Linked DNA regions of Oryzias latipes. The protein of the gene in region 1 interacts with the protein of each later gene in a biochemical or structural test. Links are inferred from orthologs where the notes say so. Each region holds a gene or a part of one and is shown in the gene's direction. Other genes may lie near its edges.

Evidence for each region.
Region 2: of the proteins of interleukin-1 receptor-associated kinase 1 (region 1) and E3 ubiquitin-protein ligase pellino homolog 1, one has a biochemical effect on the other in vitro, tested with the Homo sapiens proteins (5 studies listed by BioGRID and IntAct, with this or other methods). The link is inferred for Oryzias latipes from reciprocal best matches to the Homo sapiens genes IRAK1 and PELI1.
Region 3: of the proteins of interleukin-1 receptor-associated kinase 1 (region 1) and irak4, one has a biochemical effect on the other in vitro, tested with the Homo sapiens proteins (2 studies listed by BioGRID). The link is inferred for Oryzias latipes from reciprocal best matches to the Homo sapiens genes IRAK1 and IRAK4.

What each region holds. Positions count from the first base shown.
Region 1 is NC_019865.2:30,220,034-30,223,651, forward strand, and holds part of interleukin-1 receptor-associated kinase 1, read left to right. Parts: intron 1-518; coding exon 519-591; intron 592-659; coding exon 660-754; intron 755-825; coding exon 826-1,534; intron 1,535-1,722; coding exon 1,723-1,796; 3' UTR 1,797-3,618.
Region 2 is NC_019873.2:11,839,163-11,843,489, forward strand, and holds the start of E3 ubiquitin-protein ligase pellino homolog 1, read left to right. Parts: upstream 1-1,484; 5' UTR 1,485-1,845; intron 1,846-4,327. UniProt on the Homo sapiens protein: E3 ubiquitin ligase catalyzing the covalent attachment of ubiquitin moieties onto substrate proteins. Involved in the TLR and IL-1 signaling pathways via interaction with the complex containing IRAK kinases and TRAF6.
Region 3 is NC_019864.2:12,581,556-12,585,964, reverse strand, and holds the start of irak4 (interleukin-1 receptor-associated kinase 4), read left to right. Parts: upstream 1-1,496; 5' UTR 1,497-1,680; coding exon 1,681-1,841; intron 1,842-2,128; coding exon 2,129-2,274; intron 2,275-2,412; coding exon 2,413-2,559; intron 2,560-3,656; coding exon 3,657-3,817; intron 3,818-3,896; coding exon 3,897-3,961; intron 3,962-4,033; coding exon 4,034-4,148; intron 4,149-4,237; coding exon 4,238-4,347; intron 4,348-4,409.

The sequences.
Region 1 (3,618 bases):
GTTTCTTCTTTTTTTTCTTACCGAGGTCTATTTTCATTTTTATTACATAATTGCCGGCATGAAACTCATTGAGATGAATATTGTTGTAAATATTGGACTATATAAATAAAATTGAATTGAATATGCTAACGCAGGCTAACGTGTAGCGGCTAACGTGTTGTTTGTGTCACTAACAAGGTTAGGATTTGGCATCGTCACAGTAACGTTTGTTTCAGTGGGATTGGTCTGTTTTAATGAGTTTCAAACAAGGTTGGGAGTTACAGGCTTTGTGAATACGCTAATCCAGCTAACGTAGCTAACATTCTAGTTTTCTTGATAAATCTCCTCGATCATGAGAAAAATGCCACATGAACATGTTCAAAACACCAGAAACCTCATTTTCATGGGAGTGGGTCTTTAAGCTCTTGTTCACTCCATTTTTGGGTGGCCCTGTCGACTGTCCCGGTTGTGAACCGGTGCTTTCTTTTAATGCCGGTATATATAAAGGGGCCTGAGTCTGTCTCTGGTTCTGAGTGCAGAAAGACCTGGTGGTGGAGGTGGAGGAAGGCCCAGCGGCGTGGCGGCGGCAGCTGGACAGACGTCTGGTGACAGGTCAGCACAGGACTAGAGGAGGCTGAACGGGTTTGTGTTCCTTTGTGACGCGGTGGGTGTGTCTGCAGGGGGGGCGGCTGAGCCTGTGGGCTTCCAGGAGGTGGTGGCTCTAGCATGCAGGTGTCTGAACCAGCAGAGGAAGAGGAGGCCCCCCATGACTGAGGTCAGGCTGCTCTAGATGGCTCCATCTCTGCTGCCTTTCTCTGCTCCTCACCTGAGCTCTTCTCCTCGCAGGGGTTTGACTGTCTAAAGAGGGTCCACAACATGGTGAGGAAGGCTGCCCCCTCCTCCTCCTCCTCCCAGCCTGATCCTCATCTCCGCCCCCCCTGCTCTCCAGATCATGTGGATGTTCTTACCTATCAGCTGTCCCAACTAGGTCCACTGGAGCACAGTTACCCCCCCTCCTCATCCTCCTCCTCATCCTCCTCTTCATCCTTTTCTCCTCACCCGCTGCACTCCTCCTCCCTGCCCCCCCTCTCCTCCATTGCTGGCCCATGTGAGACTGATGAAAGTCGGGGTTTTTCCCAGTACGACCTCCGTCCCCAATCCAGATGTGACTGCAGGTCCCAGTCGCCATCCAGCACAAACCCAGCCCCCCCCTCCAGCCAACCCCCTCCCCCCATCAAACACAAGCCCCCCTTCCAGATCAGCAGCACAGGTGACTGTCCAGGGCCCAGCACCCCCACGAGGTCCTCCTCAGGACCCGACAGTGGAGTGGTGCCAGCGGGCCTTGAGGGGTTTTCTCCTGTGGGCTCCCTGCATGCTCCTCCCCTCGGACCCTCAAATGGGTCAGCAGCAGGTGCTCAGATGTGGGAGGCAAAGTCTGAATGCTCCTCTGCTTCAGTCCTCATGAACTCCAGCAAGCGCCGCCTCCTGGAGAAAACCCAACAGTACATGGAGGGCCAGATCCGGACGCCTGAGCTGCTGTCGTCTCAAAACCTCTGTAAGTACCATCCAGCTCAAGTTTGTTGCCATGGAAACTTCCCATCCTGCATGTGTGGGTTCTGCCAGCTCAGTTCTGGTGGTACCACCCGCTGTTTCCTCCGTCCTGCAGGTTCTTTCAGACTTTTGCATTGGAGTTGTTTTGGGTTTTTCTCTAACGGACTCTGTCTCTGCTCTGTGTTGACTCAGATGAAGCATGTGGTTCTGCAGACCCTGGAGAACCAGAGGAGAGTGATGAGCTGGACTACCTTCAGCACAGCTGACCGCTTCCTGCTGTGGCTGTGGGCTTAAGGTCCACAGGCGGTGCCGAGCTGTGACTGGACTGTGAGGCGCTCTAGACCAATGGGACCTTCAGGAACCCGTGACAGAATCTTCTGACTCAGGCTTCAGAACCTCCAGATTTTTTTCTCCATCAGTTCTGCTGCATCTTGGAGCAGAACTGAAGTCGGCCTGTGGTCACATGACGAAGAACTGAACCAGGACATGGAACCCGCCTTGTACCATTTTTGGACCAATGCAGAACAGCTGGGGTTTGTTTCCAGAGAGAAGCATTCAGAAGCCTTTGGTTGTAATGGTCTTGGTGTCTCATCAAAACTTAACGATTGAGTTGCAGATGAAGCAGAACTGGACAGGTTGGTACTGGACTGAAGCTTCAGCTGCTCAGATTTTGGCTGTTTGTCTTCTGTCCATCCAGACTGGAAGAGATCTGGATGGACATTTTCCTGGACTTACCAAGACTGTGGAAGTGCTGACTGCTTCTCCCTCAGGCTCAGCTCCTTCAGGCGTCTGGTTCTGTGTCGGAAAGTAGAACTGGATCGGGACATGTAAAGGGTGAAAAAACAGGCGCCCCTCAAAGTCCAAACAGCATTCTTTCCTCCAGAGCACGAATTCTAAACAACTACACCCCTGCCTGAACCGTTCCAAAGGTACTTTCCATATTTGGATGTTTCAACTGATCCTGCGTTCACGCCGGACGCAATTCGTGCATCAAATTGACCCGCTGATCACATCATGAGTCCCAAGGCTGAGTCCCTGATTGATTTACTCAAAATTCTTTGCCAAAGTTTGGATATTTGAACTCTAGAAACATCACGACGTGATGAAATGGCTGAAATGCGTTGCTGGCAGACCGCCGTGCCGCTGATCACGTGTGTATATTGACAACTGGACGCCCCTAATGCACGAATCATGTTCAGGGAAAACAAAGGTTAAAGATGGAACAGCAAAGAGAAGAACCCCCCCATCATATGTTGTTAAGATCAAAAACAGAATAGGATTGGGATTTTTAACATTTTTCCCCGGAAGGTTTGTCCTTGACTCCCATTAACAAACACGGGGGGGGGGGGTGACCTTGAATCATGGAGCTCTGCATGGCAACCAGAAACAGGGAGTCCTATCACATTTGTTGTAATGTTAACAGTACAAAAGTGGATTAACCTCAATGACCAAAGAAAAAGATGTCCTTCAGCTTCTGAAAAATGTACATTTTAAAGCAAAAAGGAAGAAAGTGTTGATCAAAGTCTCTAAAGCAGCCAGCCTCTTTATTGTTTTTTTTTAATTTGTCAATTCAAATTTTAGAGTACGGGCACGATCCAGTGTGTTCATATTCTGGCTCCAGGTCAAAGGAAATGCAGAGGGTCGTGTCAGGACGGACATCCAACTACAAATCAAAGCCTCATGAATCGTGGGAATCACAGACGGATCTTTCACAACAGACCAGTTGTTGGTCGGGGTAGCAACAACCACCACCACTGCTGTTGATCTACAGGGTGTTTTCTAATCGTGCTGCAGCTGTGCCTTCTTGTTCCCCCTCCTTAGAGCTCAGCGCATATGTAAATAAGGGAAACCCACAAACTTAATAAAAGGGGAGGCGACAGGAGTATGCAGCAGAGCGGAGAGAGATTGTAACTGAATATTCTTCTCTGTTCGTTCTCATTAAAGGTACCTTTGTCTGTTTGTCTTTCTCCTTCCTTTTTGAATAGTTCAGATGTTGCAGGTTGTTTTAACCCAACATTAATTTGTGCCCCACAAAGCCTTGGCACATTTAAAAAAGGCTTAAAAACTTTCCTTTTTGAATAAAGCTTT
Region 2 (4,327 bases), on another chromosome or scaffold:
AGGAATGCAACCAAAAACAAATGTTGGCAAGTGTGATATTAAAATTAAAAATCTCCTCACTCATAAAAGAAGTCTGTTCGTTTCTGTAAACATCTGACATTTTGCACTGCCACAGAGCTGCGGTTGCCAAAACAAAGTTCCTTGTGAACTGCAGCGCACGTGCAGGAGGAGCGCATGCAGCACTCTGGAGATGGAGATAAAAATGGACGCAACACAGACAGCCCGTTTCACTTCAGGGAGATCTGTCCAGATTGAGCTTGCAAACACTGCCAGTATGTGAGCTGTTTGGGAAGCACAGAGGTGTCGTGCACGCCACCAGTCCCACAGTTTTTTATCCAGGTGCAGCAGACGAGAAGTCTCATTGATCTGTGATTTAGGTGGTGCAGCAGAGACCAACAGATGTTTTTTTTTAAATATCAAGCAGCAGAAAACTTTATGTTTCTGAAGGCTCAGTTTCGAACACACAACAAATATCGACTTTTTTTAAAAGTATTTTACTAATCTGACCTTTGAAGGCATTTAAGAACCTGCTATGGCTGTTCATTCGCAGTTTATACACAGATGATTGAATTGAATGATTTTTAAACACAGTACGTTTTTTTCACTTATTCATAACAATTTGATTATAATTGGAACATTTCTTTTCAATGTTGTATCAGTCTGTTTTGGTTTTATCTGAACTGCTAAATGTAGCGTTTTACAAATAATTTTTACAAAATAAGAGCACTACAAGAAGTGGTTAAATCTTTAAATTTGTCATAGCTAATAGTGTTAATTGTGCTTTTGGAATAGTATATAACAATATTAGCTTCAAAACTGATTAAAGCCTTGCCTGTATGGAGCTTTTGATTTAGTATTGACATAGGTATTGATTATTTGTAATCTCAAATTTTTTCAAATTTTATTTTATTTATTCTTTTTTGTTTCAATTTTGAATTAGTTTTAGGCCTAAAACGATAATTATAGAAAAGTTTAAGTTTAGTTCTTCATGCACTCGATCTAAAACACTCTCAACTGCCCAGTAGTGCGTTTGTGTGTGTTGCATTCGCGTGGTGACACTAAACTCGGATTTTGGACAATCGGTTGTCTCGACTAGAAATAAATAACACAATGAAATGTTACTGTAACCACAGATGTATTTTCATAAAACACGTCAGTTACTTTATCTTTTTATTTTTTTTATCCTCGAAATATTTTCAACAGCAATGGTCGGGTGTCGAAATGATGATGAACATAAAATTTAACAAAATAACATGGGTTTGACATCGTAATTTATCAACAACATGGAGCTCAAAATCTGTAAAAGTGATGGGAGTTCTCTAAATCAAAAATTATGTTAGGTCACGAACACAACTCAATTATGCCCAGTATTTTTACGAAATACAAAGAAAAGTTTGACTTATCCGATAGTTTTTAAATGCATTTGTAGGCAAATGATGGACATTGGAATCGACACTCCAACTCCCGGCGTGCTCTACGTCACCTCGTTGCTCGTGCCCCCTCTGCTAGTGTTTACGTTGAGATGCTCACAACAAAGGAGCGCCTCGCGCGCGGAGGGAGACTCCGTGACTTAAAACAACGTTTTATTTTATCTCCCCGCGAGCCTTTGGATCTTGTGTCTGCTTTTCTATACGCCAGGCCTTCACGTGGCCTCCTTATTTTTGAATTTTATTTTTTTTAGTCCCGGGATACGGTTTTGGGAATTAACGGGAATTCTTTTTGTGTGTGTCTGCGTGCGTGTGTGCGCCGGCGGGACGTTTAGCTAGCTGCCGCAGCAGTTGGAGTAGCTGCTGGATCATCAGGAGCCACGGGCGCGCGGGGACCGAAACGAGCATCTGTACCGCGGTGAGTTTACGTTCGCAGCCTCCCAGCCCCTCTGCTTCCATGATGGGGCGCTCTCATCGGCACGCCGTGCCCCTCCGTCAGTGAGGGTCAGCCGCTTTGTCCTGTCAGCGGATTTCAGGCGGCCTCGTTACCGGCCGAGCCGCGCGGAGCAGCAGATGTTTGTGTCAGATGTTGCCGCACGGCCGCGTGCACCTGCTTGTCGTCGCAGCCGGGAGATCCATCCGTGGGCATAAAAGCTGATGTCAGTCTGATGCTCTGCTGCTTTAAAAGCTGCAGGTATTCCTCCCCACCGCTACCACCTCCACCATCATCCATCCTGACCTGTCACGAGGGAATAAGACACGGACTCCTGTCATTACGACCTACACACCTTCACCTCTTTCACTTTCTCCTCTAAGTTCAAGAGCTGGTAGCAAATATGAAGACCCCTGAAGATTTTCCTGCAGGACTTCACGGTTAAGTGGCTGTGGATTAGGGTGTGACCTCAGAATTTGAACCAGCAGGCTTAAAGAACTTAAAGGGACAGACAGATCTGGCTGCCTCCATGCATTACTAACCAATCCAGGGGTCTGCAACCTTCAACCCTTAAAGAACCATTCAGGTTGATTTCTCAATGACAACCCAGCAAGAGTCTCAAAGTCTTTAGAAAAATGAGACACAGATTTTTATTCAAATTATTGTCACTAGAAAAATAGAAATAAAATACTTTGCTTTTTGCCATAAATACACATAAAGAGAAAAAAGTCAAAATAAGAGGTTCCTTTAAAAAAAACGTCCCAAGTCAGCAGTGAAAAAAAATTAACCCATTTTATTTTACTGTTTGTGGTGCATGTCAGACAGAAATGTTTAAATGTAAAAAAACTAAAATTAAATCAGAGCTAATTAAATGAGTCTCACCATATTTTTTGAACCATAAGGCAAACTAAAAAACCCTTAAATTTGTTCAAAAATACAAAATCTGTCTTATAATCCTGTACCTTGATTCTGGTTGTAATTACTGGCCTCCAATTAATTTTCTGTCGTACGCAGTGCAGAAAAATATGACAAAATGTTTTGGTTTAACTTGTGCAGTTTTGTCTTTCACCCATTTGTGAATGAATTGAATAAGTTATTTGTTAAAATGAAAACCTTTTTATTTTTCTTTAACCAAGGATGCACAATGGAGGGGTTATAGAGCCAGATGCAGCTCCAGATCCTCAGGTTGCAGACCCCTAAACTAGTCGTTGATAACTGGTAGATGATGTGTGCTGTTTAAAGCCTCTTTATCTCTGTATGTTCATCTTCATCAGCATGAAAGTACAACCTGCTGAGGTGCTCAGAATCCAGGTTGAGAGGCGACATTTGCGCCTGTATTTTTGTTGTCAGGGTTTGACTTTTGTAAGCAAATCAAAACGTGTCGCAGGAAAAAGCTAAAAAGGTTTCGGGGTCAGTGTTTGATCCACACTCGCGTGATGAGACGATGAAGCACTTATCAGCTGTGTGGGCAGAAGGTGGTGGGAGTATTGTGCAGACTCCTCAGAGTTCCCACGCCCAAAAGCTCCACTTGTGAAGTCGTCCCATGGCGGTGGTTGTGTAACTGGGAAGAGCAGGTGTTGCTCACGCCGTGTGCACACTTCAGGGTGTGTTTTCTCGACAAAAAAAAATTGGTTATGTTTCTGCAGGTTCGAGTAATGTTCTAAAAGTTCCTCATGTTTGAGAACCATTTCAAGGAGACTTCATAAATGTTCCTCCTTGTTCAATTTAAGGAAAATAATGTTACATTTTCCAGCTTTAGTTGCAGTACCTCACATCTCTGCCACCCAATAAGCTGCCTCCTAACATACATTTATGTAAACACATGTTAAGGTAGTCAAAAGCATCTCTTTGGGTTACCATGACAACGTGAGACATACTGAGTGGCAGGGAGGCTGTGAGGACTGAGCTAAGTGTGCGAAACCTCCTTTCATCACAGGAAATAATCAAACCAGGAGCATCCGTCTGCGTCCTTTCAGAGCCCTCAGATGAAAACATCACGGGAGAGGGCTTGGCGTGTTTGCAGTAAATCCATACACGTGGCCGCGCCGTAGGGTTGGCAGGGACAGCCCGGCGGGTGTCAGCGTCTGCAGGCTGAGCTGCAGCTTTGAGGAGCTTGGGCTCCCTGACCAGCTTTACTGTTTGCTGGGCCAGTAAACAGGCTGAAGTTTGTACAGGAGATTACTTGTGTCATGGAAAGTGGGTCAGATGGTGGGCACGTTTTTATGGCCTTGTTTCTGCAATATAGGGAATTTAAGGGGGGGGGGGGGGGGGTGCTCAAAACCACCACTAACTTTCCGTAACGTTGCTTCAGGCTTCAAAAGTTTTTTCAGTTTTAGTTTGGAGCCTAAAAAACCAGATTTTCCTGACGTCAGTTCAGATTCTTTCAAACTCTTTTGGTCAGTCTTATTCCTTTCCTCTTCCTACATCTCCACCACGCACAGAGTGGGTTTTATTCAACAGGTAATAC
Region 3 (4,409 bases), on another chromosome or scaffold:
TACTAAAGGGGAGAATTTGGTCGTTAGTCGAATCTCTGATTCAGGGGGAGGAGTGTGGTTTTTGTTCTGATTGTGGAACAGCAGGGGTTCTGCAGAGTAGACGCGGACATCCCTTTTGGATGCTTCCCTGGGAAGATATTTCAGCCGACTAAGAAAGAGTTGAGGAACTATGTCTCTAAACTGGTCTGGGACCACCTTGAGGTCCCCCAACAGAACTAGAGGAAGTTTCTATGAAGAAGAAGATCTGGACCCCCATGACCTGGCTCCAGATAAGCAGAAAAAGGTGAATGAAATAATTACACATCACAACTGAAATAATTCTCACATTAAGTTAATATTGTTTTACACTAAGTCTAATGAAGCTGTAATTCACTGCAGGGGACATCTGTGTTGTTTCATGATTATTATCGTTTTTTTTTAAAAGTTATGGTTCATGATATCAATTACTTCCATGATTCATGCATACGAAGGTTAGTGGAACCAATACATTAAATCTTTCAAGAAAAATGATCTATATATTTGTGTTGTTTTTATCTATTTACTTTGGGGAATTTTTTCAAAATAAAGTAATCCGAAGAATGTTCCAGCATGAGCTCTGAACTTCATCTCCAGCAGTAGCTCTCTGGACTGAACTTCTTGGACAGATTTGTTGGGAGAAAGCAAAGCGTTTGCTGAAACATTTCTTGTGAGTTCAAGAGGTGTCATTTAAAATATTACATAGATTTTATCCAACAAATCAATACATGCATATAGGTTAAAAAGAGATTTATGTTTTGTAAAACATTTGAAGGAACATAAATACATATATGTTTGACCTGTAAGTATAATAAATCAGTTTGGAGCAAATTGTCAAGTCAACTCAAATGTAACCCCATTTCTTTTTGAAATGGAAAAGCATTCAGTTTGGGTTTACTGATGATGAACAAATAAGCCATTGTCACAATTGTATTTGATTAATCTTATGATCTTTCTAACAAAACATTATATTTACTAAACCAAAGTAAGTAATAAAACTCCAAATTTCTTTTAATCATTTGCCCAAATGAGATATCATTTAACCTCTACATTATCCAAAACAAAAAAACTATTATCAAAATCCTCTTTCTCAGATTTATAGATTAACATAATTTTACTTTTATTTTTGTGTTTTTTAAACTTTATCTTTAAAAAGAAATCGATGCAGTTGATTGCTCTGTTCCTTACTGATTGTCATTTTTGTTTTAAATAAAGATTCCTAAAAAGAACTTTTTTTCATGAAATGAGTGGTATGTCCACTAGATGGCAGTGTTACACTACTAACATGTTGCTAACATGTTAGTAGTGTAACACTAACAACAACTAAAGGCTTCTTTGGGTGCTTCAGGGGTTTTTGAAAACCTCTGAACAGAAGGTACCTGGGACATTAGCAAAGTCAGAACTTGTATTTATTAAAACCACACAAAATGTTTTTTAAAAATTCAAAAAAAGAGGCGGTGGCGGATTAGTAGACCAGCCCCTCTTTATTACGTTTTAAGGAAGTTGCTCAACGTCGGAAACCCCATTTTACCGAGTCGAAAACAAACTAACCATTTCTGTTTACGTTTAGTCCCGAGTTTCTTTGAACGTAATCAAGCGTTGCTTGTTTGCTTACCATGTAATTTGTCGAAAAAAGTCGAACTTTTGTTTGGAACGTGTCGTAGGATGGACAGCTCGGTGACTTCCGCCACGTACGTTCGCAACATCAGCTACAGTTTGCGCCGCAAGCTGTCCGACTGTCTGGACCCTTACGAGACCTGGAGAGACCTGATTGTGGCCCTACGGAAGCCGAATGGGGAGCCCAGGTACACTCAGCATCATGTAAGGTGAGAAAAAAAACTGTTTGGGGGGGAGGTTTGAATACAAGGAAGGCGACAGAGTGCACTTAATTAAATTTTCATTGTGCCAAATATTATGGTTATCTAAATATACTAATAACAATCCCTTTTGCTCCCTTTTTATCTGTGAAATTATAAAGTATGCTGCATTTTTTTTAAAACTCAGAAAATATAGACATTTGTGAAAAATACAATTTGAATAATTGGTGATGCGCCATCCTTATACGTTTGTGAATAACATTAATATCCTTTTAATTTGTCGCTGTTTGCTTCAGGAGATTTGAAGGTCTTGTTGCTCAGGGTAAAAGCGTCACCGTGGAGCTGCTCAATGACTGGGGGACCACCAACAGCACAGTGGGGGAACTGGTGGACATCCTGAGGAGTCTAAACCTCCTGGCTGCTGCCAATCTGCTATTACCTGGTGAGATCAATAACAGTTTTTGTTCTTTTCTACTCCAGGCTAAAGGATGAGTTATTGTTTTTATTATGACAAATAGACCACAAATGGCATGACTTGTTCTTTTCCTTTTTGTATTTGTGCTGCACATGAACAACAAAGAGGTTCTATCCAAAGAAACACAGCAGGTATCCTCAGTGAAGGCAGAAAAATGTCCTCCAACCTTACTGCTGGGTGAGGCCCCAAATCCACCTGCTGGCTCCTCCCTGCAGACACAAACACTGCTGGATGATGGAGGAGACGACACAGGTGGGTGCAAAGTTTTCTCTAAACCTTATTTCATCATCTTCGGTCAGATATGTTTTATATGATATGTGTGATTACTTATGGATTATTAGGAACACATTTTAGTCAAGTCAGCTTTATTGTCAAATATACTGTATACACAAGATATACAGCACAGATGAAATTTCTTTCCTCTTAACCCACAGCTTGTAAAATTAACAATAATAACAATAATTTAAATAGGTCAGTGCAAAATATTGAGATATTTTAAAGTGATAACAGGGCTAAGAAACAGTAAGTAGAAGAGTGGGTGATGGCAGTTTAGCTCAACTATACAAAATATTTATTTTAAACTGGCTTCCTGAAAGATTCTGTATCTAACTATAACTCTATGTTCAAATCTTAAAGACCCACTCCAAGGAAAACCATGTTTTTAACATATTCTTGTGGCATTTTTCTGATGGAGGACATGTATAACGCATATTGGGCTTAAAATTGCATTTCTGAGTACCGGTATGTCTTTATTCAAATCACTGTGAATCAGGAGCAGACAAAAACAATGCTGTTGGAAAAATTGTTATGTAGAACTTACAATGACAGGCCACACACTCCCTGCTCTTCTGTTTATCCACTTGTAGACAAATAGACCCATGTCTGTCTTCGTTTTCCTCATCTGAGCTGGCATCTAGCTCTAAACTGCACTGCTGGATGGCTCTGTTATTGCTCGCTGTTTTTGTTGCACCACTAATGTTAAGTGGGGGTGTAAGGGACTGTAAGCTAGTGGGAGATTATGTAAACAGCTCTCAGTTATGGGTGATGGGAAGGGGAGTGGGGCTGCTCTGCACCAACAAGAATCCTTGAAAAACCAACAGAACATTTTACCTCTTGGAAATTGACTGCTGTAGAGGCTTAAACTAGATCTTTGTTTAAACCCTTAATGCATTCCGATTTATTCCTTCAATAATTATAGAATTGCTTGCAGTCCCTAATATGTAGCTCTGAATGTATAAAGGGAATTGAGCTGATTTAAAAAAAAAAAGACCTATGACTAAATACAAGTTTGCATATCTGACCAGCAGATGGCAGCACTGATTTTTTTTTTTTAACCACTCGTGCTTTAGGTGTCTCCAGATTCCTGTACGGAGAGCTTATGAGGATCACCAGGAACTTCGATGACCGGTCCATCTCAGACGGCGGCAGTCGTATTGGTGCGGGAGGCTTCGGGACAGTCTACAAAGGTTTGCTAGACAGCAGACTAGTCGCAGTAAAAAAACTCAGTCCAGTACGTGGGATCGTTTAAACACATTCTTTAAAACGTTGCAGATACTGTCTGCGAAGCTCTAAAATATTGTCTCGTTTAGATGGAGGACATGCCGCTGGAAAGTTTACAACTTCAATTTAACCAAGAGATTCAAACTTTGAAAGTGTAAGTTTGATATACTTTTAGCCAGAGGATTAATACCAGTAAACACAAAAGTCTTATTACCCGGTTCCTCAGGCTAAAACACCAAAACCTGGTTGATATGGTTGGATTTTCCTCTGATGAGCAGCATCTGTGCATAGTGTATGCCTTAATGGCAAACGGATCTTTGCTGGATCGACTTGCTTGTTTGGTGAGCAGCATGCAACACTTAACATACATCTAGATACGTAAAGGCCGAGCTGTCCATCATCAAAATCAGTGGTATGATTGCTCGTGCAGGATGGAAGCCCCCCTCTGTCCTGGCAGCTGAGGTGCTTCATATCCGAAGGGGCAGCTAGAGGACTGGAGTATCTTCACTCCAACCATCATGTCCACAGAGACGTCAAAAGGTTGGTAGATCCAAGGGGCTCAACACTATTAATACCTCTTAAATGGTTATTTCAATGTAATA